2 linked regions of the Alligator mississippiensis genome follow. The protein of the gene in region 2 interacts with the protein of the main gene of each other region in a pairwise test. Links are inferred from orthologs where the notes say so. Each region holds a gene or a part of one and is shown on either strand. Other genes may lie near its edges.

Region 1 (8,255 bases), on a different chromosome or scaffold from region 2:
TAAACAGATATATTACTATTAAAGGTATGATGCCACTTTACACTGTTACTAATCATTACCTAGAATGTACTGAAAAGTTACAACTATGGTTATAAAAGAAGGCAGAGAGCAGTATACACAGGCAATGTGCAAGATGCTATATTGCATGCCAGCAACTTGCAACAATGCAGGTGCCTGCTGAGATAAACAAAGCTGCACGTGAAAGCACAACAGAGAGAGATGGTTTTGTAGCTAAGGCACTAGGTAGAAATTCAGGAGATGTGGGTTCCACTCCTGGCTCTGCTTCAAACCTGCCAGGTGAGTCAAGATCCAGTATGGTCCTGCAGGAGTCTAAACAAGATTTTGGTATAATTTAACTGGCCAAGTTTCAAACAGTAATTAAGTTTGGCCCTGCTCTACAAGCTCCAAAACCTCAGAAGATGTCCAAGTTCAAACCATGCTTCCATTTTGGACTGCAAAATTACAAGGTTCTGCACTTACCTTCTGAGCATAGCCAAATGTGAGGCATTTAGCATTATGGGGTATGCAAGGATGAACTCATCCCCAAAGATGCATTATATGTGCTCAGAGCATGCTTAACTCATACTTAGCTCAAAAACATTGGGCTACAACAGCCAACATTTTTTTTAAACGCAACATATCACAGTACTTGCACCGCAATCAGGAACCCTGAATTTTAGGTCCCCTGGGGGATTCAAATCCCCTTCTTAGGAGAATATTCTGCCACACTAAAGGATAAGCTGGGTAAAACATTCTCTTCCTCCTCCTCTCCACTGGGCATCCATCACAGGAGATATGAGGCCAGAAAGAGAACAAGAGAGAGACTGGCACTGTACACTAGTGGTTACACCGCTTCACTAATGGAAGGAAAACCTGGGTTGATCCCAGCACCCAGGACTCTTCCTGCAGTTCCCATGCAAATATCATTGTTAAATAATAATAACAACAAGCCAATAACCTTGGGAATAGGGACTGGAACCTAGAATCCCTTTGCCCAGAGGAGCACTGTACCCCATAAACCAGGGGCTAGGAACTTTTTAAAGCCACAGGCCAGAACAACTCATCTCAAGTCCAGCATGCACTGGGTGGCTTTGGTGGCACATCAGCAGCAAGGGGGATTTGCCTGTGCCTATGACTGGGTCAGGCAGCTGGGAGCCGACACTAACACCACTCTTCCTAACCCCTGACTCCCTGGTTAGGGCACAAGCACAGCTTCCAGCTGGGAACTGCATTCATGCTGCTGCTGTCACTCCTCCCTAGCCCCTTGTTTCCTGGCTGCACTGAGGGTATAGCTTCCAGCCAGTAGGGAACTGCGCTGCTGCTGGGTAGCTCAAAGTTGGGTTCTCCTTGATGTTGCTTCTCCCTGTTCCTAACAGACAAGCCTTCAGAGAAACAACCCGAGTGTTAACAAGGGAGATATGGTTCCTTGGTTTGTTAACATGCCAAAACACAAAGCCAAGAATTCTAAAGACATAGCAGGCAACAGATTTAGTTTACTTTATGTTCCCACATCACAGGCTACATGAAACTTAGACTTAAAAGGCAAGGGGTATGCATTTAGTGGTCTCTAGAAAAGCTGGCACCTTAAGTGTTTGCAAATTAGGAAAAAAAAGGCCTTTCCTTGCCATCTAGATACCATGGGCCATCTTGCTCCTGTGAAATCCATATGGGGATGATAAAAAAAAAAATACTTAATAAAAGATAAGGAAGTTCTTACCTGAATTACTATGAAACAACTTGCTATTACCAAAATTGTAGTTTAAGTTTTTGCATAGAAGTCTGGTTTTCCCATTTCACACGGTTTAGACCAGGGGTGGGCAAAACATGGACTAGAATGGCCTGGCAGGTCGCATCCATCTGGCCTGCGAGGCCCCTAAAAAATTTAGAAAATTAATATTTATCTGCCGTGGCTGCCTGTCATGCGGCCCTTGATGGCTTGCTAAAACTCAGTAAGCAGTCCTCCGCCCGAAATAATTGCCCACCCCTGGTTTAGACAACTACAGCAGATCCACCAATTGAAGAATACTCTTCAAATGAACTTTCAGACATCCAGGCCTAAAGTCTCAAAATTTTTGTAAGCATCTTACTCCTATCAATTGCAAAAGGCTCTAGACACCTAAAAACCTTTAAGTCTCAGTTCACACTGAAATGCACTACGATCCCCAACAATTCAGGCATTCTCTTATGTCTGAATTCAACATCAGAGCCTCAATTTCCATACTTAAAATGTTCTACTTACACATAATCAGAAAGTTAAGGCTATTTTTTTTTTATATGTAGAGTCTCTTGCTTTAATATTTTTAAAGTTAAACATTGCACATTTGAACTTAGTCATAATGCTGAGGCTTTACCATTAAACATCTCAAATAAATCTGATGTGGATAGGGGTTCACACAACTGTAAAACTGCAAGAGACAGGAAGCATTAACACAGCAGTCTCTTGTTTTCTCCTACAGCACAAGAGGCTTTCCGTATTTAACTTTAAGCCAACGGCAGTAAAAGACTCCATTAAGAAACAAACCCGGACCAACCCAGTTAATAAATAAGTAGTGTTTTCACACCATGACCAAGAAAACCAGCTAGATACACCCCTTAACTCTCAACCACATCATTACTAAGATGCAATATTTTTTTCAATGTCAAATTCCTTCATGAAACCAAGTCTAGGCTGCCAGCTGGAAACATTTTTAAGTCAAAAGGGACAAAGGGAAGGTTTCCCAGCCAAAACGAAAGCGCATAATGCGGCAGACGTCTATAAACAGAAAACATAAAATGCCCTTGTTAATTTTCCCTGCTACTTCCCAGATGGTTATCCCGAGCACACGCTCCTCTGTCCGGAGACGGCCAAAACCCTGCAGTAAAGCACAGCCACCCTGAGCGTTTTATAGCCTCCAAGAACATTAACTAATGAAGTAATAAATTGTGACGAGCCAGGCCGGGACTTCCAGGCTCAGAGCAACACGGGCAGGACAAAGGGAGGTCATTTCCAGAAGCATCAGCTTTCAACACCTACCAGAAAAAAAAACACCCTTCCTTTTCCAGGCCCCGGCTCTCCCCGCGCGACCCCGTTCACCTGCGCCGGAGCCCGCACTAGCCCTGCCCGGCCCGACCCGGCTCCGCTCCCGCTCCCCCCGCAGCGCTGGCAAATATGGCTCCGAGGCCCCCACCCCGCACCTCCTCCCCGGCCGGCGCAGGTGACTATGTGACTGCCTGCAGCAAACGCGTGCCCTGCCGCCGGCTTCCGCGGACTGCGTGAGGGCGCGGGGTGCTCGGCCTTAGGCGGCCCCTGGAGCCGTGCTGCCCGCGGGGCGGTGGGAGGCCTCTCGCACGTGTGCGGCAGCGTCCCGCCCCCGGCCCGGCCCGGATCAGGCGCTTTGCGTAGCCGACTCTGCCCCGCTGCTGCCTGAGGGGAGATCGCGCCGAGCCGGGGCTGCCGCACGCGGGTGCGGAGATGGCAGCAGGCGAGCCGCGAGCCAAGAAGCCGAAGCGGGAGCACGAGCGGCTGAGGTAACGCGGGGGCGGGCGCACGTGCCCTGGGCAAACGCGAGCGGCTCGCTGCCGGCGGGCGGGCGGGCGGTCGCTGCTTGCAGGGGCTCCGAGCCCACGCGGTTGCGGCGGCAGCGGATCTCGGGCGCTGCCTCTGCCACGCGTAGCCTGGCTGCACGTGGGTGTGGATGATTCGCGTTCCTCAGTGATGCCTGCTGAGGCTCAAGTGCCCACAGACCTAAGCCCGTGCATCTGCTCAGGTCCATCAAAGTGGGGGGCAGAGAAAAGACGGGGCCAAAAGAGCAGATCAAAGAGCACCCAGGCCCCCCAAAAAACAGCTTTTCCCTCAAGGGCTGCAGAGGAGAAGACAAGCACTAGCCTGCACAACGGATCTGTGCGCAGCTGCTGCTGCCAGCTAGGAGAGCGTCACTTCTGGGGTGCCCAGCATGGCTGGCACAAGCCCAGAGCTGGGCATCTCCGTTCACGCTACAACTGGGTTTCAAACGATGCTGCCTTCCCCAAGCCTTCGGGGAGCCCTTCGACTCACTGTTTGCACAGTGCTTCTAGGGAACCTGGATTGAGAGGCCCTAGATGTAACTATGAACTTCTTATCTGAGAGGCAATGACTTCTTAGGGAGGTATTTTTTTATTGGACCAACTATCCAGTAGAGTCAGACAAGCTTTCCCATGCTAGACATGACCTAGGTGAAGCCATTAGCCAGACTCCTTCTGTCAGATAGGAAAAATGCAAAACCAGACAAGGTTCTAGCCTGGGAAACCTCTGATCCTACCACACAGTTTGTTCAATAAAAAATATCACCCTAAGAAATCCTTCTCTCTCACATAATTGCTGAACCATCATAGCTACATCATCACTCTTACACTACCTTATTATGAATATGTTTTAGGGCAAATTGCATTGTGGGAATCTGTTTCTTTAATGTAATAGATAGATATAGATAATAATAGATAGATATTGATAGACAGGGTGCAAATTAAGGGGGAGTTTGGGGCAGGGCTGAGCCCACCCATAAGAGACAAGAGCTCCCCTGTAAGATTCGAAGATCATAACTTGATCAGATTGCTCCTTCACTTAGATGGACTTGTTAATCAATGAACTGGTTTAATTTCTGTTATTTTTTCAGATTCTCCCCTCCGCCCTCCCCCACCCCCTCCCCAGAGTTGAAATTTAATTTGAACCCCGTAGACTAGGGGTGGGCAAAATGCGGCCTGCAGGCTGGATACAGCCTGCCAGGCCATTCTATCTGGCCCATGGGGCCCCTAAAAAATTTAGAAAATTAGTATTTATCTGCCCCTGGCTGCCTGTCATGCAGCCCTCAATGGCTTGCCAAAATTCAGTAAGCGGCCCTCTGCCTGAAATAGTTGCCTGCCCCTGCTGTAGACAGATATATATATGTATAGATGTATTTTCCTCTATTCAGCATTGGTGAGGTCACATCTGGAGTATTGTGTCCAGTTTTGAGACCCCACTACAGAAAAGATGTGAATAAATTGGAAATAATTTGTGGATAAAGTCCAGTGGAGGGTAACAAAAATAGTTAGGGGGCTGGGACACATGACTTACAAGGAGAGGCTGAGGGAATTGGGCTTATTTAATCAAGAGAAGAGGAGACTGAGAGGGGATAAAATAGCAGCCTTCAACTACCTGAATGGTGGTTCCAAAGAGGGTGGAGATGGACTGTTCTCAGTGCTGGCAGATGACAGAACAAGGTGCAGTGGTTTCAACTTGCAGCAAGGGAAGTTTAGGAGGGTAGTAAAGCACTGGAACAGGCTACCCAGAGAGGTTGTGGAATCTCCATTCTTAGAGGTTTTTAAGACCTAGCCAGACAAAACCTTGGCTGGGATGAGGTAGTTGTTGATGGACCTGCTGTGAGCAGGGGTTTGGACTAGATGACCTCCTGAGGACCTCCCTTCCAACCCCAATTTCCTATGATTCTGTGATTCTTATATATATGCATGTAGCTGATATCCATACCCCTTTTGTGTTATTATTTTATTATAGTAGCCTCCAGAAACCCAAGTCAAGACTGAAATCCATTATTGTACAGATTACTGTGCAGATAAGTAACTAGGAAAATGGTCTTTATTCACTCTAGGAGTGAAATTATGGCCTGGCTGAAGCCACTAGCAAACTTCCCTGTGTTAGATAGGATGAAAAATGGACAGAGCAAGTAAACACGTTGGAGATGGGTGAATAATGCAGGAATGAAGCTGATAACATTATCAGAATAGAAGTCTCATCTGGACATTTCCTTAACCAATGCCAGATGGGAGTGATTTTGTAGGCATGGCAGAAAAAGAGAAGTATTCAAGAAAGATTTAAAACAGATAATGTGACAAGTTTGCAAATGATGATAGCTGTTTTTTTTTTTTTTGGTTGTAAGAAGGGTGATTGAACCCAAAAGCTTGCTGAGAACTTTTGTCCAACTGCTTAATTGGTCTAATAAAAGATATCACATCTACTCAAAGAACCTTGCCTGCAAATTATGATAGAGAGTTATCCTCATGCATAAGAAACAGGATGGTAGAAAGCATGTTTGAGACAGGAGCAGGGGATGGAGGCTGCTAACAGTTGTAGGGCAAGGTGGGGCTGATGATTTCCAAGATTTACTTAAGATATTTAAGTTTCTGACTGCGATTCTGCCCTGCATATCTGGCTTGTAGTGTTAAGAGCAAATCTACCTTTGAATTCTTATTCTAATTTGTTTGTATTAGATATTTTGATCATTAAATAATATTTGTTTTCTCTGGGTGTTTAAAAATATGAAGTAAAAACAAATGAAATAACTAGTAGACACTTCTTATCTTTTCTCATTTAGCCAGGATGCTAGAGTAAGTTAATCTAATTAATTAATTAGATAATTAATTAACGCATGCAAAGTTTGTTGTTGCATCTGCTGCAGCGTCCTTAGCCTGACGAAGGGTTTTTGAACCCGAAAGCTTGCTTAATAACTATTCTCCAACCATTTGGGTTGGTCTAATAAAAGATATCAAATTCACCCAAGGAAGTTTGTTTTAGAGCACTTTACATATTTTAGAGTGTTGCTAACATTAATAATTAATCATTCATAATTCATTGCTATAAAAGGAACACTACTGCATTGAGGAGTCTCCTGATTAGCACTACACTAAAACTGGAACTTGGGTTTTTTTTGTTATTTAACTTAAATAAGAGGTAGCCCAAAGCATATGCAAAACAAGAGCATGAATTGCCTAGATGTATTTTCAGGACTTTTGTATTAGATTTGGCAATAAATATTGGGTAGATACAACTGTCATCAATTAAATCAATTAAAATGACTTGAAATTGAAATGGCCGGATCCAGTGGTAATTATTAATTGATTGAAAAATTTAGTGTCAGGCACAGGAGCTCAAACAGTATCATGAGAATAGTGGCTTTACATAGTCTTGGCTCTGCTGAATTAGCTATTCCTATGGAAGCAATTTGTGACATTAGTGTAAAAACAGAAGGCAGCATATATCAGTAACTTGTTTCTTGGCAGCTGAGTGACTTTTTCAAGTCTAATAATAGTTGCAAGGACAGTTGCAGATAATAGAAGAGGAAAAATATAGCTGTACAGCAAAAACCCCCAAAAAACCAACCCAACAAAAAACAAATTATAAGTAAAAATATAAACTTGTGTTAGAAAAGCTACAGTTAATGTCAACACTCTTTAAATATGCTGTTAAAACAAGGAAAGGCTGGAAAATCAACCTCAAGCTTACATAGCCCAAACCAAACTGCATTTCATTCAGCTTAAGCAGTATATACATATTTAGAGAGAAATAAACATGGAAGCAGGTACATTTATCTGCTTGTAACCCCATGCTTCATTAATAAAGTTCTTCTTTTTTTTTCTTTCTTTTTTTTTTTTTTAAAGAAGCTATTCCTATATGCCTGTAACAACTGATAAACTCTCCAAAGATGATTTTGTAAGATTTTACCCACACAATGGATACAATGTACCAGGTAACCTTGTTACAGCATAATTGAGCTCTGCTGGTGGTGGAGTGGCAGGAAATTTAATCCTCCTCCAACCTTGTTATAATATTGGCTTAAATTTTAGGTGTAAATTCCAACCTTTTTCTGTTTTATAGTAATCTCTGTTACATTATTATGCTCCTCTGGTGGCTCAACAGCTCCTGAATTGATTGGATGATCATGATGTCTGTTCATGATTTGTTTTCTGAGCAAATTGATTTGTCCACATGGAGAATGCGAAAGCATTACATTTGGCAGGAGATGCTTATCATTAAAAGTACGAAGTGCAATATTGTTTTCTCCAGTTAAGCAACTGTTCCTCTTTAGATTCAGTTATCAAGCACACACTGACGCATTCTTTCCTCAATTTTTTTTGTAGAAAGAATCAATGTTCATCCCCATGGTTGAAATTAGACCTTGATTGATTTGGTACAGATAAGAAAATCCACAGTTGTATTGGTAACTGTGTAATAATATTAATGTATTTAGAGGGTGGGTGGTGGGGGATTCTTAGTATTACATGCATTTTAAAATGTAATTTATTTTTTCAACTTATTTCAAATGAATGAAGATTCCAAGTATATTAAATAAACTCCAGTAAACCACATCTGCAGGTTAGCAATTCACTTTTGTTTTGTCTTCTTTTTTCTGGCTTTTTTAATTTCACCTTGCTCTTCTTCTTGCCCTTGACTTCTACACCTTATTCTTGTGCACCACTTCCCTTCTGGGTTCTCCAAGCCTGTAAATATTTCAACACATGCATAA
Region 2 (7,567 bases):
ATTTTGCCTGTTTTGACCATTGTTCTGCTTAGTTCCTCTTTTGGCTCTGCTCGTTCAAAACTGTGTTTCTTCATGCACTTGGGGAATGGCACACATCAATAATTAATGTCTGCCAAAAAAAGAATCTGCATCCTATTTGCTGTCAGACTCAAAACTGAAATACTGATTCTCCTTGGATAGAAACATTTTAAAAACACCCTAACATAGGTGTGGTATGTGAATACCAGTTATGAGGGATTCTGTTTCTGTTTAAGCTTAATTCTAGGTTTTATGTTATACTTCGGGTATAAGAGAATGCTGTGCTCCATCATTGATCAAAATGTCACTGATTAAATGGTGTTCCACCCTAACAAGTAGATATTCCTTCATATTATATCCAAGAGCCTCATGAACTGTAAAGACAATGTACTGATTGTGCAAAACCAAGACAATGGATTCAGAGACCTTTCTGTGATCTTGTTTTATATGAACACTACATACATTATGAATCAACTGTTGTGGAACCTCAGTGATGTTCAAATATCCATAATGCATTACAATCCTCGACAACTTAAACATCTTTTGCATAAATAATAAAACCCATTTCAAAGCGGGATTCTAAAAGCCAAATCTTCTAAAGACAGTCTGCAAATATGGGGTCTATTCCTGCGTGCCACTAAGTTTTGAGCACATTAAACAAAAAGTAAGACTGGGCCTAGGATCAGCCTAGCAAGTCTGATGCTCTGTGCCTTAAATTCAATCAGAAAAGTGTCATGACAGAACTAAAAGTATAACGCGAATCTAATAACTGCAGAATTTAGAATCAGAGCTAAGTTAGGCTAAAAGGGACCGCCAGAGGGCATCTAGTTCAACCCCCTGCCTGAGGCAGGATCATCTCTATCTAAACCATCCTCTACAATCCATGTAATATCAACATCAACTCCTGGGAGACTAATCACCCAGAACTGCCCCAAATGGAGGATGAGTCTGCTGCAGGGATCGCAGTACTTTGAAATTGCATGACAACAGGAAACGGAAAAGTAGGACCAACAGAAACAATGTGTCATGGACAAATAAAAAAATCCAGTACCACCCACCCCACATGGAAACACATATACGAGCTGCATTAGTCTGTCAATCCTGGATGAACTCCATCAGCCATCTTCGACCACAGAGATAAAACGATCATGGAAGACCATCATCCCTGACTATGAGGGATTGCTAAAGAACATACAATGCATAATATAAACTCTACAAAAGACTACTGTCAACACAAAACAGACCCAATGTCCTAACCTGCCACAGACAAAGGTCCCAATGTCCAGCCTTTATGAAATGTCATCAATATATGCTCAGGAGGTCCCGGTTAGAAGAATCTGAAGCTGAAATCTGTCTACCCAGCAGTCTTTGGAGAAAACATCATGTCGCACTTGTTCATTCCAAACAAAACTGAGGATGATCTTCCTTTGACCAAAACCAGGTTTTAATATTGAACTGCATAATGACAGCAGTTTCTTAACCCACCCTACCACTTAATAAAAAAAAAGATTGGGGGGGAACAGAAATTCAGGACAGAATCAGAGAGAAGTTGGGCTGGAAGGGACCTCCAGATGGCACCTAGTCCAACCCCCTGCCTGAGGCAGGATCATCCCTATCCAAAACATCTATCATCTGAACTCTGCATAAGACTCCCATCACCCTGGACACAACACAGACCTAACAACGCCCTAACCTGCCACAGGTAACTCAAGGGAGCCACAGCTGCCAATGCCCTGCTGTAGAAAAAGGTTAAATGAATAAACAGCATGATTTTTTTAAAAACACCATCAAACTATCAGACAAAGGGGTAACTTCGATGGCATTGTTTCCAAGTGGAAGATACCTGTCCTTATACCATAAAATCATAGAAAATGAGGGTTGGAGGGGACCTCTGAGGTCATCTAAGCCCAACCCCTGCTCCAAGCAGGACCATTCCCAGCTAGATCATCCCAGCCAAGGCTTTGTCTACCTGGTCTTAAAAACCTCCAAGGATGGAGATTCCACAGCCTCTCTGGGTCAGTTTCTCAACCCGTGCAAGCCAAAAATGGGTTCTAAGAATATATGAAAGGGCCATGAACAAACTTAAAAAATGGATTCTCCTTTAGAGGACAAAAATATTTGGGAAACTGAAGCACTGCCCTTGCATGCTGCAAGAGTCCCAGCCTGAGAGGGGCTACTTGGGGGGGAGGGCAGGCTGGGACCTTCATGAGTGAGGGGCACTGGGGGGAGACCGGCCCTCAATGTTTACAAGTGGGCAGGGGGAAAAAACAAAAGGTTGAGAGCTGCTGCTCCAGGTGACCTGCTCCAGTGCTTCACCACCCTCCTCATGAGAAAGTTTTTTTCCCCTCAGATCCAACCTCAAACTTCCCTTACTGCCACAATGCTCGCCATGAAGGGCATCCTTGGATTTCTAGAGTCTGCACAGATCTCCACAGACGTTTCTCTATCCAAACGCTGCCCGGCAATTGGAGATGCAGACTCAAAAAAAAAAAGGAAAAAAAGCCAGGCTCCCTAGACTGGCCAGAGCAGGCAGGACACCAGGATGGAGAGAGAGAAGCAGCGGGAAGCGGCAAGCAACAAGTGAAAAAAAGGACTTCCCGAGCCGGCTGGGAAGTCCTGCCGGGCCCGTGCGGAGGCAGCTGGAGCTCGGCGAGGGGAGAAGAGAGGGGCAGAGGCGGGCAAGGACGTGCAGCCCGCGGGCAGCGCCCATGCCTGGGCCAAGCCGGCCATCTAGCGACGAGCTGCAGAAGTGAAGGCGCACACAAAAGAGGGAAGAAAGAGGCGGGCGGGGGGTTTACATAAGCCATCCCCCTCCTCCTCCTCCTCCTCCCAACTTTGCCGGGCTCCCGCACCGCGCTGCCCCCTCGCAGCCCCGGCCCCAGCCCCGCGGCGCGGGGAAGCCCCCGGCACCCCCGCCCCGGCCCTGCTCGGGGAAGGACAGAAAGTTGGCGGAGCGGCGCCAGCGGCCCGCGCACCTGGAGGTGCTACCCCGCGCCGGCTCCCACCCGCCGCCGTGCCGAGAGAAGCATCCCCGCGCAGGGCGCCGGCTGCCACCTGCCCCCCGCCGCCGAGACAGGTTCCCCCGGCCCGGGACGCTGCAACCCCCACGCACTAAGGTCGTCCCTTACAACTCCTCCCCTCCCCAATGCACTCGGCTCTCCCTTTGCAAGTCCCCATGCACTGGGGTCCACCCGTGCAACCCGCTCCCCACGCACTGGCGCAGCCGGAGCCGCCGCGGACTTTACCTGCCGCGCGCCGCCCATCACCCCGGCCCGCGTCTCCCGCTGCTGCTCCCGCTGCTGCCCGGCGCCAGGAGGGAGGGGGCAGCGGGACCTGCCGCCGCGCGTTTACTCGCCCTCTGTCTCGCACTCTCTGCCTGTCTCCCCAACACGCGCGCTCCAGCCCCTCCCTCTGGCCCCGCCCCCACACTCTCTCCCCGCCCTCGGCAATTTCCTCACTCGCCATTGGACGCCAGCGCTGCCACTTCCCAGCGGCGAAACCACGCCCACCTGCCCCTGGCCCCGCCCTTGTGGCATGATGTGGGGGGGGGGGTCTTGTTGGGGGGACCTAGGCAGGAGGGTGCTGGGATGTAGATGGGCAAGGCCCAGGAGGACTCCGGGGGGGGGGGAGCAGTGAATATGTTGAGGGGGCTGGGGGCAGGGCTTCTGAGGAGAGGCTGAGGGAACTGGGCTTATTTAGTCTGCCAAAGAGGAGACTGAGGGGGGAATTTAATAGTAGCCTTCAAATCCATGAAGAGGGGTTTGAAAGAGGATGGAGCTGGGCTGTTCTCAGTGGTGGTGGATGGCAGAACAGGGAGCAATGGTCTCCAGTTGTGGCAAGGGGAGTTTAGGTTAGATGTTAGGAAAAATTTTCTCACTAGGAGGGCAGTAAAACACTGGAACAGGTTACCCAGAGATGTTGTGGACTCTCCATCCTTGGAGGTTTTTAAGACCCAGCTAGACAAAGCCTTGGCTGGGGTGAGCTACCTGGGGATGGTCCTGCTTTGAGCAGGGGGTTGGACTAGATGAGCTCCTGCGGTCCTTTCTAACCCTAATTTTCAAGGATTTGTACCTGCACCAGAAGCCAAAGGGAATCTGTTGGGCACTTGATGCTGCAATCTCAATTGGCCTCTCCTTAAAGACCCCGGACAACTCTGCCCAAGCCCACCTCTCGGGTCTCCTATGTGGCTGCTTCTTGTCCCTTCCACCCTCCTCCCATATCCATGCCATGGCCTCCTATTCCAGTTTTCTGTGCCATAAGGCACTGAATGACCTTCCAGTCCCAGATACCCACCCTGGTCTCATTCAGATACCTTGGAAAGTCCCATTTCTTCTGTGAGCCCCACAGGAGAGCAGCAATTATAGATAGCCAGGAATAAGAACTGGTGGTACTTCAAAGACTCAGTTAAAAAAAAAAAGCACCCATGAATGACATGCATATGCAAGTGGAAGTGACATTTGTGGGGAGTAAGGAGCTGTGACAACCCCAGACTGTGTTGTTGGAAAATGTTTTGCTTTTTGGTGCTGGTCTGTAGTCCATGTCATATATTAGATTTGCACCCTTTTTTTCAGAACAATAAAGCTATTTCTAGTATAACAAATGCATGCAAAACTGTTCTCCCAAAGTGCAGAATGTGTCACTCTTACACTGTCACCTGGTTGGGGCCTGAAATGGTCTTTATCCTCTGTTTTGAAGAGCGCAGAGGAAAGTGTTTTTGCTTCACGAATACTACCATGCATCCAAACTTCATCCACCTCCACAAGCATCAGTCAGGTGTAATAGCTGATTCAATCAACATCTGTTTTTCGCTTTGACAAGGTCACCACCCTGAATTTCCCCACTTTTATTATCAGGATCAGTTAAGACAAAATGCCAAACATGCCATCATGAGGCCAACCTTCCCAAGATGAGGTTCCAAAATAAGTATGAGGTTAACTTTCATCAAGATCCTTGCTAAGATATTTTCTCATCAGCCACTTGAAACAACAAGGAGGCTTGCAACATCTTTTAAACAAAAAACAACCAACCAACCAACCAAAAAAATCCCCAACACACAAAAGCAAACCCACTGTGCTACCTTTTTTCCTGTCTCCGTGTATGTAACTTTCTGGTTGTACCAGTCTCAGGCCTTGCAAGAAGGCAGCATGTTAACATTTACAAGTATCCTGCTGTCTTGTAAAGTTCACTTTACTGTCTACCCTTCCTATAGGAACAGAGCAAAAGGGAATAGTGAAGAAAAAATAACACACATACTCCCATCATTCAAAAGACACATGGTAGCTCATATTGCAGTTTGCTAGCCTTCATCATCCCTTTTAGATTATTTTAATATCAGAAATATATCCCTAGCCTCTCATTCAGTAGATTGAACACAGAAAGCATGTGAACAGAGGGGAAAAACACACATGCACGATTTACTCCCAAGCACTGACAAATGGTATATAAATTACTTAGTATTTGGATTCCTTTTTTAATATTATTATTTTTAGCCAAAGTGACTATTGCGGCTTAAGCAACGGAAGGTTTGTCTATCAAAACAAGAAAAAGGAACAAAGAAACTCAGATAAAAAAACCAGCAAGTGAAACAACAAGGTTTTCCATTATGACCATTTGATAAACATTGTCTTTCTTGGAAGTATAATTCCTCTAAAACCCTGGCTAACCCAGGAAATCTCACATCAAGAGAAACAATTCTCAACCCAGAGAATTAAGATAGATTTAAATGAAAGACAAAGCTCAGTCTGCAGCATTTGCTGTAATTTCATTCTAGCCCATAGTCTCATTACTGTAGTGTTTTGGCTACTTATACCTCTGAGTCTCACTCTGGAAACCAAGTGCCTCTCTAGACTTTAAGCTCTTTATAACAGTTATTCAGTTCTTGTTCCTTGTGGCTCTTGCTGTCACTCAGTTTCCTGATCGAAGGGGAAGTTATGGCACCAAAAAAAGACTTTTTTTCAGTCCGTCTTAATATCCCCTCAAGGAGTTCCCTCAATCCCTTTCCAGCTTTCCTTCTCTTATTTGCTCCCCTTCCCCGTCCCCCTCCCCCACTCAGATTTACCACTTGTTGGTCGTTTTGTCTCAGGACTGAAAGCTCTCGACATCCCGTCATTACTGCTCCCAGGTTGACAAATGTACATTAATACTAAGTCATGAAAAATGCTCTCTGGCAAATTTTGTTCTCAAGCTACAGCACAATTTGACCAAGAATTTGTTTCCCACGATCTTGCCAGGCTGAGAACAAGAGGCTAAAAGGTCTCAGAGTTGCATTCTCCACTAGGGCTGGTGCAATGTGTTTCATTGGATGTCTAACCTTATCTGTCTCTGTCTCTGTCTTTGTCTCTCTCTCACACACACACACACACACACACATATATATATATATATATATTGACTGCTGCGTGGAGCAAGGAAAGTTAAGAGCAGCTCTATTTAGACAAGCCTTGACCAAGAATGTGCTGTTTCTACAAACCTCCACTAGGTGTCCTCTACCAATTGCTGAGCTGTATTAGAAATACAGTACTGTATTCAGGCAATCTCCCTATAGGATTTTAAGTTTTCTCTAGCTTTGTTTTGCTTAACTGGTCTAGCTAAATGACTCATCCTACTGTGACTGGTTTTATTTTTTTCCCCCTGCCTACTACATCCCAGTGTTGCTGAACTGTTGTTTTACAAGCTTGGCTATTTTACATGTGAAATATTTTGGATCTGATATAGCGATATGCTGACATATCATAACAAACAGCACCGTTACATCCTCTAAGCTAAAAACAGCATTTGACATCTGCTTGGTGGGTTCTTTTTATAAGATGTATTTCATAAAGCTTATTGGATACGGAACAATTTTTCCCACAATATTTACTGTTTCACCTATCTTCTCAAAGGAACAATATGCTAAGGAAAATTGGTTGAAAGTTCTAGGTTTCCTATAAGTTCAGGGGCATTCCTATATCCCTCATAGCCATGTTATGAAATCCTTGCAAGTATGCACCTTATGGCCTTACTATTAACTCCTTCCTGCACTTAAAGTTAAGTGAATCCTTCCCCCCTCACCCACCTTCAAGCTCTGCAGAGAAGAAGTACAAGGTCAATATGCCATTTCAAGTCTATTTAATAAGGCTTTAATTTGATTTGAGAGGTCCCTGGGCCTTGTGCTAGTACTGTGAAAGTGAGGGAAGTTTCGCCTTTAAAAAGCATACCTAATATAGCAGTGCAACCAGGTAAAAATATTTGTTAGCTGACTGAATGTGATAAATGGCAGGAGCATGGTATATTAGCAGGTATGACAAGATGCATACAGTATACTGGCTGTGCTTAGGCTGTTTTCCTAAAATTACACATTACCTGCAACTTGTCAAGGTCCAATAAACAGCTGTTGTCATACAGTAAATGCTGTGGTGTCACAACAATCTGAGATCTGGACTCTTGCTGGAAACCCTTTTTTTCTCTCCCTCTCCCTCTCTCATGTAGTATCACCTCATTTGTCTGCCAGGCTACCATCTGTATGCCCTCAGGGAGTCAAGAGAACAACAACAAAGGAAAGGAGTGAGAA

What was found.
Region 1: the proteins of SIPA1L2 (region 2) and AP3M1 interact in binary tests that used the Homo sapiens proteins (3 or more experiments, as listed by UniProt). The two-hybrid records come from large-scale screens. The link is inferred for Alligator mississippiensis from reciprocal best matches to the Homo sapiens genes SIPA1L2 and AP3M1.

Annotation. Positions count from the first base shown.
Region 1 is NC_081829.1:26,754,986-26,763,240, forward strand, and holds the start of AP3M1 (AP-3 complex subunit mu-1), read right to left. Parts: upstream 3,129-8,255; 5' UTR 3,014-3,128; intron 1,874-3,013; 5' UTR 1,718-1,873; intron 1-1,717. Other genes in the region: ADK (adenosine kinase), read left to right, coding at 3,452-3,507. UniProt on the Homo sapiens protein: Part of the AP-3 complex, an adaptor-related complex which is not clathrin-associated. The complex is associated with the Golgi region as well as more peripheral structures.
Region 2 is NC_081824.1:151,046,146-151,053,712, forward strand, and holds the start of SIPA1L2 (signal-induced proliferation-associated 1-like protein 2), read right to left. Parts: upstream 3,401-7,567; 5' UTR 3,264-3,400; intron 1-3,263.